Linked DNA regions of Rattus norvegicus. The protein of the gene in region 1 interacts with the protein of each later gene in a biochemical or structural test. Links are inferred from orthologs where the notes say so. Each region holds a gene or a part of one and is shown in the gene's direction. Other genes may lie near its edges.

Region 1 (3,493 bases):
TTCACATAGAATCAGAACTTTGTATAGAAGACACTTTCTGGTCATTTCTCATTGTCCATATCACGTTATTTCTTTTAGCATGTGCAGGCTCTGCCAACAGAAAAAATTACCAAGAAGCCTATTCCAGACGAGCACCTCATTCTAAAGACTACGTTTGAGGACCTTATCCAGCGCTGCCTCTCCTCAGCTACAGACCCCGTACGTATTCTGTGTAACTACAGATATAACCGGGCTGGAGGGCAGTCAGCACCATTACTATTGCTTCATTCCCAGCACCTACATGACAGCTCACAGCTGTCTGTAGCTCTGTTCCCAGGGGTCAGACGCCCTCTTCTGACCTCTGGAGGCACTGCACACATGTGGTGCACAGACACGCAGGCAAAACAGGTGTATACTTACAACAGTAAAATAAAAAAATTTTTAAGCCCTTTGTGGTGCTCCTTCGTTACTGAGTCATAGCTGCCTCCACTGTGTTGGTTAACAAAGACCTTCAGCATCCCAAGTGTAGGGTTCGAGTGTGACACCTGTTCTTTGCTCTCCCGCAGCAAACCAAGAGGAAGCTGGACGACGCCAGCAAACGCCTGGAGTGTCTGTACGACAAACTTAGGGACCAGACAGTAAGTTTGGGGGGAGGTGGACTATGACCGTCCATTATCCTTTGTTGCTAATAAAGTGACTCACCGACACTGTCACTCTGTGGGGTGACAAAGTTGTCATGAGAGGCACAGAATGGTCTTTCCCAAATTGCGTGGGGTGGGAGGGAGAACATATGAGGGAAATCAGCCCTTTCTGTAGCAAAGATCAGAAGTACAAACTGGGGCTGGAGAGATGGCTCAGTGGTTAAGAGCACTGACTGCTCTTCCAGAGGTCCTGAGTTCAAATCCCAGCAACCACATGGTGGCTCACAACCATCTGTAGTGAGATCTGATGCCCTCTTCTGGTCTGAAGACAGCTACAATGTACTTACAAATAAATAAATCTTAAAAAAAAATTTAAAAAAAAAAAAGTACAAACTGGACTCTGTCGGGCCCAGGGTAATTGGCCTGGTACTCCTTTCACATGGCCATGTATCAGAAACCGGACAAGGCAGGCGCCCTGTTTCCTAGAGAAGAATCTATCATCTCTCTGGAGTCTAAGACTCTTGATCCTTTTCGCCTACAACAGCTGATATAGAAAGGCAGAACCAATGTTGCTGCCAGATGGTCAGGGTAATGTCTGTGACGGGGAAGAGAAGTCACAGCAAGGAATCACTGTGGTCCTCTTGAACTGACCTGCTGTCCTTTGAGAGTTGAGATAATCCTGTTCTCCACACTCAGGCTCATCTGATAAGAGTAACATTTTTCTCATGAGACCCAATGCAAAGAAAGCGATCTCATAGGAAGGGTGTGGTCTATGACTGATCCAAAAGAGAGTCTTGTACTAAAGTATGGGTTGTTCTGAGTGCTGCCGTGCCAGGTGAGCCAGTGTGCAAGCTGCAGGGGAGTCAGCCACATAGCTCAAGGCTGGCCCAGCATTCCAGATGTCAGGGAGGGAGAGGACATGGTCAGGGGTAGCAGCATGGGCCAGAGATCCCAGCTCTTGCTGAGATCCAGGAGTGAATCCAGCCAGGGCAACACAGCAATGGCTAGTTGCAAAGAAAAAAAGGAAAACAAATTTTTTTGCCAGAAGAGAAGGTAGACTTACAGAAAGCGATTTCGGGTCCAGAATTGGCTCAGGTTAGCGCTCTTGTCTAGCACATTGACACCCTAGACTCCATCCCCATCCTCACAGAAGAACGGATAGGAAGACTAGGTAAGAGCTGGTAAATTGCACTGTTTGCCGAGCCTATTGCCTTGAACTCAGAAGAGGACAGAAGGTTCAGGATCTGCTGTAGAAAAAGCTTCAAGTAGCTGGGGTCCCAGCTTTTTTAACATTATCATGATCTACAAGCTTCCCGGACTCAAGGAAAATGTTAAAGGCTCTGGCTAAAGTAACTGGAGAAGGGACACTCCATTGGAAAGAGGTTTATCAGTTCCGCTTGCAGGAGGAAATCAGTAAGGAAAGACCTGCTCTGCAGTGCAGTATGGTAATTCATAAGGGACTTGTGACACAAGGCGTCTCCCCAGGCTTCTACACTAAAGTGTAAGTTTCACTTGGTCCAAAATCTTTGTTTAGTTTAAAACATTCCAAAATGCTAACTAGTTACGCATTTGTAAAGAGTGTCTCAGGCTCTGCGTAAATCTCTGGGTTAATGCTTGCAGAGCACTGTGGGATACCCCTACTGTAACTCCCTCTCCTGCCCCTGCCTTTCTTTCAGCTTTCTCCAACAATCATCAGCGGTCTCCACAGCATTGCGAGGAGCATTGAGACGAGGAACTACTCTGAAGGGTTGACCGTCCACACTCACATCGTCAGCACCAGCAACTTCAGTGAGACCTCAGCCTTCATGCCAGTCCTCAAGGTTGTGCTCAGCCAGGCCAGTAAGCTGGGCGTCTGAGACAGCTGCCATGACCTCCGACTCCGCCACTTCTCCAAAGAAAGCCATGCTAAGACTGGGACCAGCCCCTCATTAGCATGTTTCCATGGCCACCCGCCACCCAGGAGCTTTGACATTTCTGCAGGCAAACTCCCCTAGAACTGCTTGAACCCCCCCTCCCACCCCGCCCGTGCTTTCCTTTGTTTTAATCCCCTCGCCCATTATGATTTTCCCATTCTGCAAATAGTGTCTTTCCTGGATTACACATAGTGTGGTTTCCTGAGGGATTCTGACAAAATGTGGTTTTTAAAACTTTGGTGTACTTTTTAGGAAAATTGCATCTGGCTGTGTATAAAACAGACCTAAAATAGATTTCTTTAATGTCTTCCCTACCTTCTTCACGTTGATCAGATTAAAGTTGTAATCCCATCTTATACCTCAGTCTTTATTGGTTTACGTTTTCACTGCATTTTCTTTGTTTCTGCGTGAGTCGGTGTGGACTTGCCCCTGCATGTGGAAGCCAGGGGACAACCTGCAGGGTCGGCCTCTCCTTCCTCCACGCGGCTCCCAGGCAGGTTTAGCAGCAAACACTTTTGCCTCTGAGCCGTCTCACCAGCCCTGTAGTCTTTAAAACAGGCTGCTGGGCTGGGGCCGTCGTCTGGGGGAGCGCTTCTTGGCGTGTGTCAGGCCCTGGCTCCTACTCCTATTGCTGTGGTGCAGTCCTTCTCCGTCTTGTAACGCTGCAGCCTTAATATAGGTCCTCAGTCGTGACCCCCAGCCGTAAAACTGTTGCTGCTACTTCGTAACTGTAATTTGCTACTGTTAAGAATCGCACCTTCAGCACCCATTCCTGCATTCTCCGTGCACGGGTATCTTCAGTGTTCTGCTTTGACTCAAGATTGACTTGTCTTACGTCATAGTTAGCATTTGCTCCCCCGTTTTGAAGTCGGTCACCTGTAGTCCTGAGCCGCCATGAGTCTCATTCAAGAGGTCCTGGAAGAGGTTCAACTCTTCTTATCTGCATTTAGGTACAACAGG
Region 2 (3,651 bases), on another chromosome or scaffold:
GTTTCCCCCAACCCCCAAACCCACCCCAGTGTGCAGGGATTAAAGGGGGATTGATTTTTTTTTAAAAAACGTTTTTTTTTTTTTGTTACCCTCTGGCTGATGGAGAAAGCAAGTATGACAAAGCCATTGGAAGTACATAAGAGTTGTAATAGGAGTTTGTGTGGATGAGCACATGTGGATGTGTGTGAGTGTGCTGACCCATGTGAGGGTGTGGTGAGCCCAGAGCTCGACATCACATGTCTTCCTTAACCGTTTCTCCTCCTCTCCACCTTACTTTTTGAGACAAGGTCTCTCACTGAACCCTGAGCTTGCAGGAGAGTCATGGGATCTACCTGTCTCTGCCCTAGGGCTGAGGTTTTGCTGTTGCATTTGCTTTTGATCTCATTTTTTGACGTTTGATGTCACTGCATAGCCTAGAGCAGCTCTGGATCACTGCAGTCCCCCTCCCCCATCTCAAACAGTGTTAGCTGAGGAGCCACTTGCAGTGATATCCACGTTCTCTTTCTATCCAGATGTAGTCTGAGGGTGGGCAGGGGAGAGGAATGTGGTCGTCCTGGAGGAGGTTGTAGCTGTAAATCTCAGAGTCCTATTTCCATGACATTTCATTGACTGTTTCTGTTTTAGCAAATGCCTGTAATGCCAGCCCTCAGAAGTCTGGGTGAGAGGATGGCTATAAATTCAAGGACAGCTTGGGCTACAACCTGGAAACCAGGTCAGCCACATAGCATAATCAGGTGTGTAGGAGAGGAAAGAAGAGAGAGAATGTTTTATCATAAAGGCACATGGGTACAGTGGTTCATGAAACTTTCGTATTTTGTTTTCTAAAATATCTGTGTTGGTTTTAATATGGAATCAGGTTAATTCTCTAGAAACTTTGCTATTCTCTTGTTCACTCCTAAGGATACAGCCAACTGCCCATACATGTCATACCTGCTAGATACAAATTAAATAACATTTATTATAATTTTAAGCTTTTTATAAAATTATTTTATGCTTATAAGTGTCTTGCCTACATGTATGACTGTTTCAAATGTGTGAGCCTGGTGTTTGTGGTGGTCAGAAAATGGCTTGACCCCTGGAACTGGTGTTATGATTGAGAGCTGCAATGGGTGCTGGGAATTGAACCTAGGTCCTCTGGAAGAGGAACTAGTACTCTTTTGTTTTTGTTTCTCTTTGTAACCCTGGCCATTCTGGAACTCATTCTGTAGACCAGGCTGGCCTCGAACTCAGAGATCCACTGTCTCTGCCTCCCAAACACTGAGAGTAAAGTGTGCACCACCGCTGCCCAGCCAGCAGCCAGGACTCTTAACCACTGAGCTAGCTCTCCAACCCCACGTTGTTGTTTTTGAAAGATGTGTATTTAATTAGTACCAGTATACCTTTAAGCTCTTAGACTTGGATTCTGTCTTTTACCTTGTGGAATCTAAAGTACCATCCTTTCCTACCTCATGAATTTTCAGCTTTCAGAGAAGGGGAAGCCATATGTTGACATTCAAGGTTTAACTGCTTCTACAATGGAAATCCTGTTGGACTTCGTGTATACAGAAACAGTACATGTGACAGTGGAGAATGTTCAAGAACTGCTCCCTGCAGCCTGTCTTCTCCAGTTGAAAGGTATAGACAATAAAAGGTGTCTTGTTCCTGACACAGTAGCCCTGGAAGTGTTTTTCATTGACATAAAATTAATCAAGAGACTTTCAGAGGTCAGTCTGGAAGCATGGCATTGGAATCTTTGAGCATGAAAGATCAGATATAGTTAAAAGCAATGCATAAGAATCTCTCCACATATGAGTATTTGGGTCTTGTAAAAGGAAACATTTAAACTTTTTCTGTTTTTGAAAATATGGAAGGTGGAAATAGGAAAATATGGAAATAGGTATGGTGGCTGACACCAATAATCGCAGCACTTAAGAAGCAGAGGATTGTATGAATTTGGAGCCGATTTAGTGTGTAAAATGAGACTACATCTTAAAATGAACCGATGGGGCTGAAGAGGTGGCTCAGGGCTTAAGAGCATGGACTGTTCTTCAGGAGGGTCTGTGTTTGAGTCCCAGCATCCACTGGTGGTTCACAATTATTTTCATTTCCAGGGAATTTAATGCCCTCTTCTGGGCATCATACAGATACACATGTTTGCAAAGCACCCATTCACATTAAGCAATTAAACTGAACCAAACAAAGCAGAATGGAAAATATAGGTATTTCCTTAATACATACATGTATATATGTGTGTATGCATACATGGTAAAAATTGTCAAGAAGCTGATAATATTCATTGTCTACATAGATACTGATTATTTACCTTGTCATTTGATGTCTTTGTTCATGGTGAGACTAAGGACTTTTTCTTATAAACCTTTTTGTATCTTTAAGTCTGAATCATGGAAAATATCTTTTAAATTTTCTTTTTACTTTTATTATTTATCTTTTTATGTGTATCTGTGTTATACTCAAATGGGTGACCTCTGATGACCACAAAGGTCAGAAGAGGGTATCGGATTTTCTCAAACTGGAGTTACAAGCAGTTGTGGACTGCATTCTGGGGGCTGGGAACTGGACCTAGATCTTCAAGAATAATAGTGTGTTTAACTGTTGAACCATCTCTCCAGTTCCCTGGTTTGTTTTTGAAACAGAGTCTCACTATGTAACTGGTTATCTGGGAACTTGCCGCTCAGGTTGTCCTCTAACTCAAGGGTATCCACCTGCTTCTGTTTCTGAAATGCTGGAATTAAAGGCATGCACCTCTATGTGTGCCTTAAGATACCTATTGAAAATAAAATTTATGCTAGTCAGTGGTGGTACATGCTTTAATTCTAGAGTTCAGGAGGCAGAGACCGGTAGAGCTCTGTGAGTTGGATACCTGCCTCATCTTCAGAGCTAGTTCTAAGACAGCCAGGGCTTCACACAGAAACTCTCTCAGAAAAACAAAACAAACAAAAAAATAATAAAATAAAATTTACCTTCTACTTGAGAAGGAGAAACAGCATGGGCTATATAGGTAGACCTGTCTCAAAAAGAAGTAAATAAACTTTAAATTGATGTATAGGAGTTAAAATATAATTTTTCAGATGGTCTACACTGTATAGACAAGGCTGGCCCTAAATTGTATCCCAGTTGGTCCTAATTCTGTCTTCTTGCTTCAGCCTTCTGAGCACTAGGATTACAGTTGTCACCATGGTAACTAGCCATCTGTCCCTTCAACCTCCAACCATGTATCCACTTAATTGAAACATTCTTACTGCTGTTTGTTTTGTTTTAGATAAGTGTATCACTGTGTGGTCTAAACTGGCCTAGAATGTGTGATCCTTCGTAGCCTCCTGAATGCTGGGATTACAGGCACAGACGCCTATGTCCAGTCCTCATTCCCCACCTGTCATATAAGACTGAGGTGAAGTGGAGCGCGCTAAGTGCAGACTTAGAAAATTAAGTTAAGTTTATGCCAGGTGTTGTGGCACAGGCCTTTAATCCCAGCACTCCAGAGAGAGATTCAGAAAGATACTTGTGAGTTGAGACCATTCTCTTCTACACTGTGAGCTCTAGACTGGCTAGGGCTGCACAGTAAGACTCTGTCTCAAAAACCAAACCAAAAAAGAACTGAGTTCATGCACTGGACCGTCCCTTTTCCCAGTGTCAGGGATTGAAACCAAGGCC
Region 3 (3,651 bases), on another chromosome or scaffold:
CAGCAGGCCATAACCTCTGGGGGGTTAATCATTTTCCTACATGACCTCTGAGTTGGCAGTGTTTACAGTGGCCTATCTTTGCTGTGAGAACCTGGCTCTGTTGTACAGTTCAGGCCCTTCAGTCTTTGGCCAGTACAGTGCCTGCTCTAAGAGTAAGGCTGCAGAGGTTTGACAACCATCTTCCCATTTGTCTTTCTCCTAAGGCTATTTCTTAGCTCTACTGAAAGGGACTTAGGGAGAATAGGAAGTCTAGCAGCCACAGTAAAAGTGTAGGGCAGAAGCCAGTACACTTCTGTCCCAGAGAGTAGTCCATACCAGGCCCTTGGGGCTCTCAGGGCGTTTCTTGATAGGCCAACACAGGGCACAGTGTAGAACTGCTAGGGAAGGTCCAGAGGTTGAAGTCCCTAACTGAGAAACTCATCCTGCTTCCTGGAGCCAAACAATGCAGGCAGCCTTTGAGCAGGGCCCAGGCTTAATGGCCTCAGTCTTTCCTGTTAAGTCCCTGACCTCCACACTTAACCCCTGGCACTTGGTTTGGGGGTTCTGGGACCAAACTGTGCATCTTGTTGGTTTTGGTGGTGAGTAGTCTAGCTGTGAGGCCACCTGGCTGGAGCTGGCATGGACCCAAGAGCAAGAAGATCCAGTCTCAGCACCTCTGCCAGTGACCCACCTTGGTTTCCTCCTGGGGATCACATGAGGCAGTATAGTAGTTAGAGACATCTCTATGCTCTCTAAACTTGTCATCAGACCCTAAGTACTTTCCATTCAGTACCTTATTATGCCTTCAAGGACCCGTGAAGCTCCTTAGTCCTTCTTAAGATATGGAAACTGACGGTTAAATAAATAAGCTAATTTTTCAAAGCTTGTACAACAAATAAGCTAAGGACATAGAATTTCCTTTTTAGATACTTCCTTACCAGTATGACAGCACTCTGCTGAAAAGGGTTTTTAAATGGACCTACAAGCCTACTTACCAGGAGAGCAAAGCCTGACCCAGTAGAAAGATGGCCTTCCAGAAGAATCCTTTATCTTGAGTAGAAAGGTGACAAAGAAATGTTAAGGTCCATGCATCACTTTTGGTTGAAAGTTTCTAGCTGCTGCAGGTGGCAGCTGGCTATTCCTGAAATCTGATTTGAGTCTGTAGGGGCCTGGCGTGGGGGTTATGCACCTGTCCTGCAGGCTTCCCTAGCTGTCCTTCCCTTGCAGCATGATGCGCAGATGGACTATTATGGCACCCGCCTAGCAACCTGCTCCTCAGATAGGTCTGTCAAAATTTTTGATGTGCGAAATGGAGGGCAGATCCTCATCGCAGACCTCAGAGGGTAAGTGTAAACAAGCATGGAGAAGGTCGTGGGATAGCTAGATTCTCAGGCCTGGGAGGAAGGATGAAAGCACAAATTCAGAGCAATCCCAGAGTACATTAACCAGTGAGGATGCTTAAAGCCCAGATGCCTCTGCCCTTAGCAGAGGTGTAGATAAGGGCACAGAGACATTCAAGTATGATCCTCAGTTCTACCACCAGGAGGCCTGGCCCTCCTCTGCTTAACCCCAGCTGGGGTAATCCTGACTCTATCCAGGGCCCATCAATATATCTTTGATGTGGGCAACCACTGTCATGTTCAGAATTAATGAACACTACAGTACCAACCTGCACACATTTAGGCATTTCACCTCAAGTGTCATTTAGGAAGTATGATCGTGAGATGAACTTGGGACACATATGTGGCAGTCAAAAGACAACTTTGTGGAGTTTTCTCCTTCTACCTTTCCATGGGTTCAGGGGATTGAACTCAGGCTTACACAGCAGGTGCTTTTACCCACTAGGCCATCTCACTAGGCCCATAAGACAAATTTTATACATCTTGTTCTGTTTGCTCATGGCAGATAGATGGCCAAGGATTATTTAAAAGATGTTTGCTTTCTCCCCCACTAGCCTTTGGGGTCTTGGCTCATTTTCATGATCACATCTCTTTGAGACATAGTGTGGATTCCTTACCTGGGTACCTGGGTCTGCTAGAGTGAACTGGGTCACAAGTTTGGCAAACTAGGACAGGGAAAACAATCACATTTATTTACATGACTCTGAATTTACCATTTTTTCTATTTTGGATGTAGACTGGAAACTCCCACTTGTCACTCACTTTGTCACCAAGAAAAGTCAGACATATTTTCATCTTACATGGAGCTGTCTAAGAATATCATTTGTGGGGCTGGGGATTTAGCTCAGTGGTAGAGCGCTTACCTAGGAAGCGCAAGGCCCTGGGTTCGGTCCCCAGCTCCGAAAAAAAGAACCAAAAAAAAAAAAAAAAGAATATCATTTGTGCTCATTATGACTTTGAAATTACAGATTGTTAGACCTGCCACTTGCTACTTGGTTTTGACAGAGACAATTTAATGTCTTAGTAAGTCATTTCAAGATGCAGAGTTCTCATTCCAAACATAGTAGAACACAAACCAAATTTAAGTGTGGTGGCACATTCTTTTGTCCTAGCATTTGGGAGGGTTACAAGCTCAATGCTAACCTGACCTACAGCATGAGACCCTGCCTCAAAAACTTAAGATAGTGGGAATACTGTGTTGTCTCTCCAGAGGGAACTGGTACTTTGGGTCCCCTGAACCTCTGAGTAGCCTTTAACCCCCTCCCTTACAGACATGAGGGGCCAGTGTGGCAGGTGGCCTGGGCTCACCCCATGTATGGCAATATCCTGGCTTCCTGTTCCTATGACCGGAAAGTCATTATCTGGAAGGAGGAAAATGGCACTTGGGAAAAGACCCATGAGCACTCAGGACATGACTCCTCAGGTATGTAGAGTTGGCAGGTGAGTAGGAAGGTCTTGTGGGTGAGAAAAGCCCTAGTTCTGATCACATCCCAGACCCTTCTCTTGCTGCTGTCCACCCTTTAGACATTTGTTAGCTTTTTCACTAGTCTATCCCCAACAAAGGTCAGTCGCCAAGACCTAAAGCCAATCCGGAGAAAGAGGTTTATAAGTACAGTGCGGCTTTCTAAGGCTCAGCCTGGAATCTCAGGGTGCCCCTCTTCCTTGCTTTGTGAAGACGGACTTAGGAAATACTGTTAGGAGTTAATTTGTCATTTGGCCAAATGTCAACTGGCTGCTGGCAGTCCCTGTGTTTTTTCTAAGAATGTAGCAGAATAGTAGATATAGAATGAAGTCGTCTCACTGTACTCCTTTCCACAGTGAACTCTGTTTGCTGGGCCCCTCATGACTATGGCCTGATCCTGGCCTGTGGGAGTTCAGATGGTGCCATCTCGCTGCTGACTTATACAGGGGAAGGCCAGTGGGAAGTGAAGAAGATTAACAATGCTCACACGGTGAGTCCAGCCCCAGCCTTTTGCATGGAAGAGAGAGCAGCAGTTGCTGTACTAAAGTCTTCTGTGCTCCTAGGAGAAAGAGTGGGTATGGCTGGGAAAGGTCATAGGTTAAACTTGCTAGAGCCACTTTATTATGAGGGACAATAGCCACACCAGCCTTCTCAGCCCAAGGCAGAAGTGGCACTGGTTTCTCCTAGTAAGACCCAGGTTGGGGACAGAAGCATTGGGGGCACTTTGACCAGCCACCTTGCTACAGAAGCCTGAGGCTGACAAGCATGGGTCCCCAGAACTCAGTGAGTTTTGAACAATGGCCTAGAGAT

Evidence for each region.
Region 2: of the proteins of Sec31a (region 1) and Klhl12, one has a biochemical effect on the other in vitro, tested with the Homo sapiens proteins (3 studies listed by BioGRID, with this or other methods). The link is inferred for Rattus norvegicus from reciprocal best matches to the Homo sapiens genes SEC31A and KLHL12.
Region 3: the proteins of Sec31a (region 1) and Sec13 form a complex in vitro, tested with the Homo sapiens proteins (2 studies listed by BioGRID and IntAct, with this or other methods). The link is inferred for Rattus norvegicus from reciprocal best matches to the Homo sapiens genes SEC31A and SEC13.

Annotation. Positions count from the first base shown.
Region 1 is NC_086032.1:9,570,691-9,574,183, forward strand, and holds the end of Sec31a (protein transport protein Sec31A), read left to right. Parts: intron 1-78; coding exon 79-198; intron 199-545; coding exon 546-617; coding exon of another isoform or gene 618-644; exon of another isoform or gene 645-2,296; coding exon 2,297-2,476; 3' UTR 2,477-2,888; downstream 2,889-3,493. UniProt on the Homo sapiens protein: Component of the coat protein complex II (COPII) which promotes the formation of transport vesicles from the endoplasmic reticulum (ER).
Region 2 is NC_086031.1:48,458,200-48,461,850, forward strand, and holds part of Klhl12 (kelch-like protein 12), read left to right. Parts: intron 1-624; exon of another isoform or gene 625-734; intron 735-1,460; coding exon 1,461-1,614; intron 1,615-3,651. UniProt on the Homo sapiens protein: Substrate-specific adapter of a BCR (BTB-CUL3-RBX1) E3 ubiquitin ligase complex that acts as a negative regulator of Wnt signaling pathway and ER-Golgi transport.
Region 3 is NC_086022.1:148,440,124-148,443,774, reverse strand, and holds part of Sec13 (protein SEC13 homolog), read left to right. Parts: intron 1-1,206; coding exon 1,207-1,322; intron 1,323-2,650; coding exon 2,651-2,802; intron 2,803-3,197; coding exon 3,198-3,331; intron 3,332-3,651. UniProt on the Homo sapiens protein: Functions as a component of the nuclear pore complex (NPC) and the COPII coat. At the endoplasmic reticulum, SEC13 is involved in the biogenesis of COPII-coated vesicles.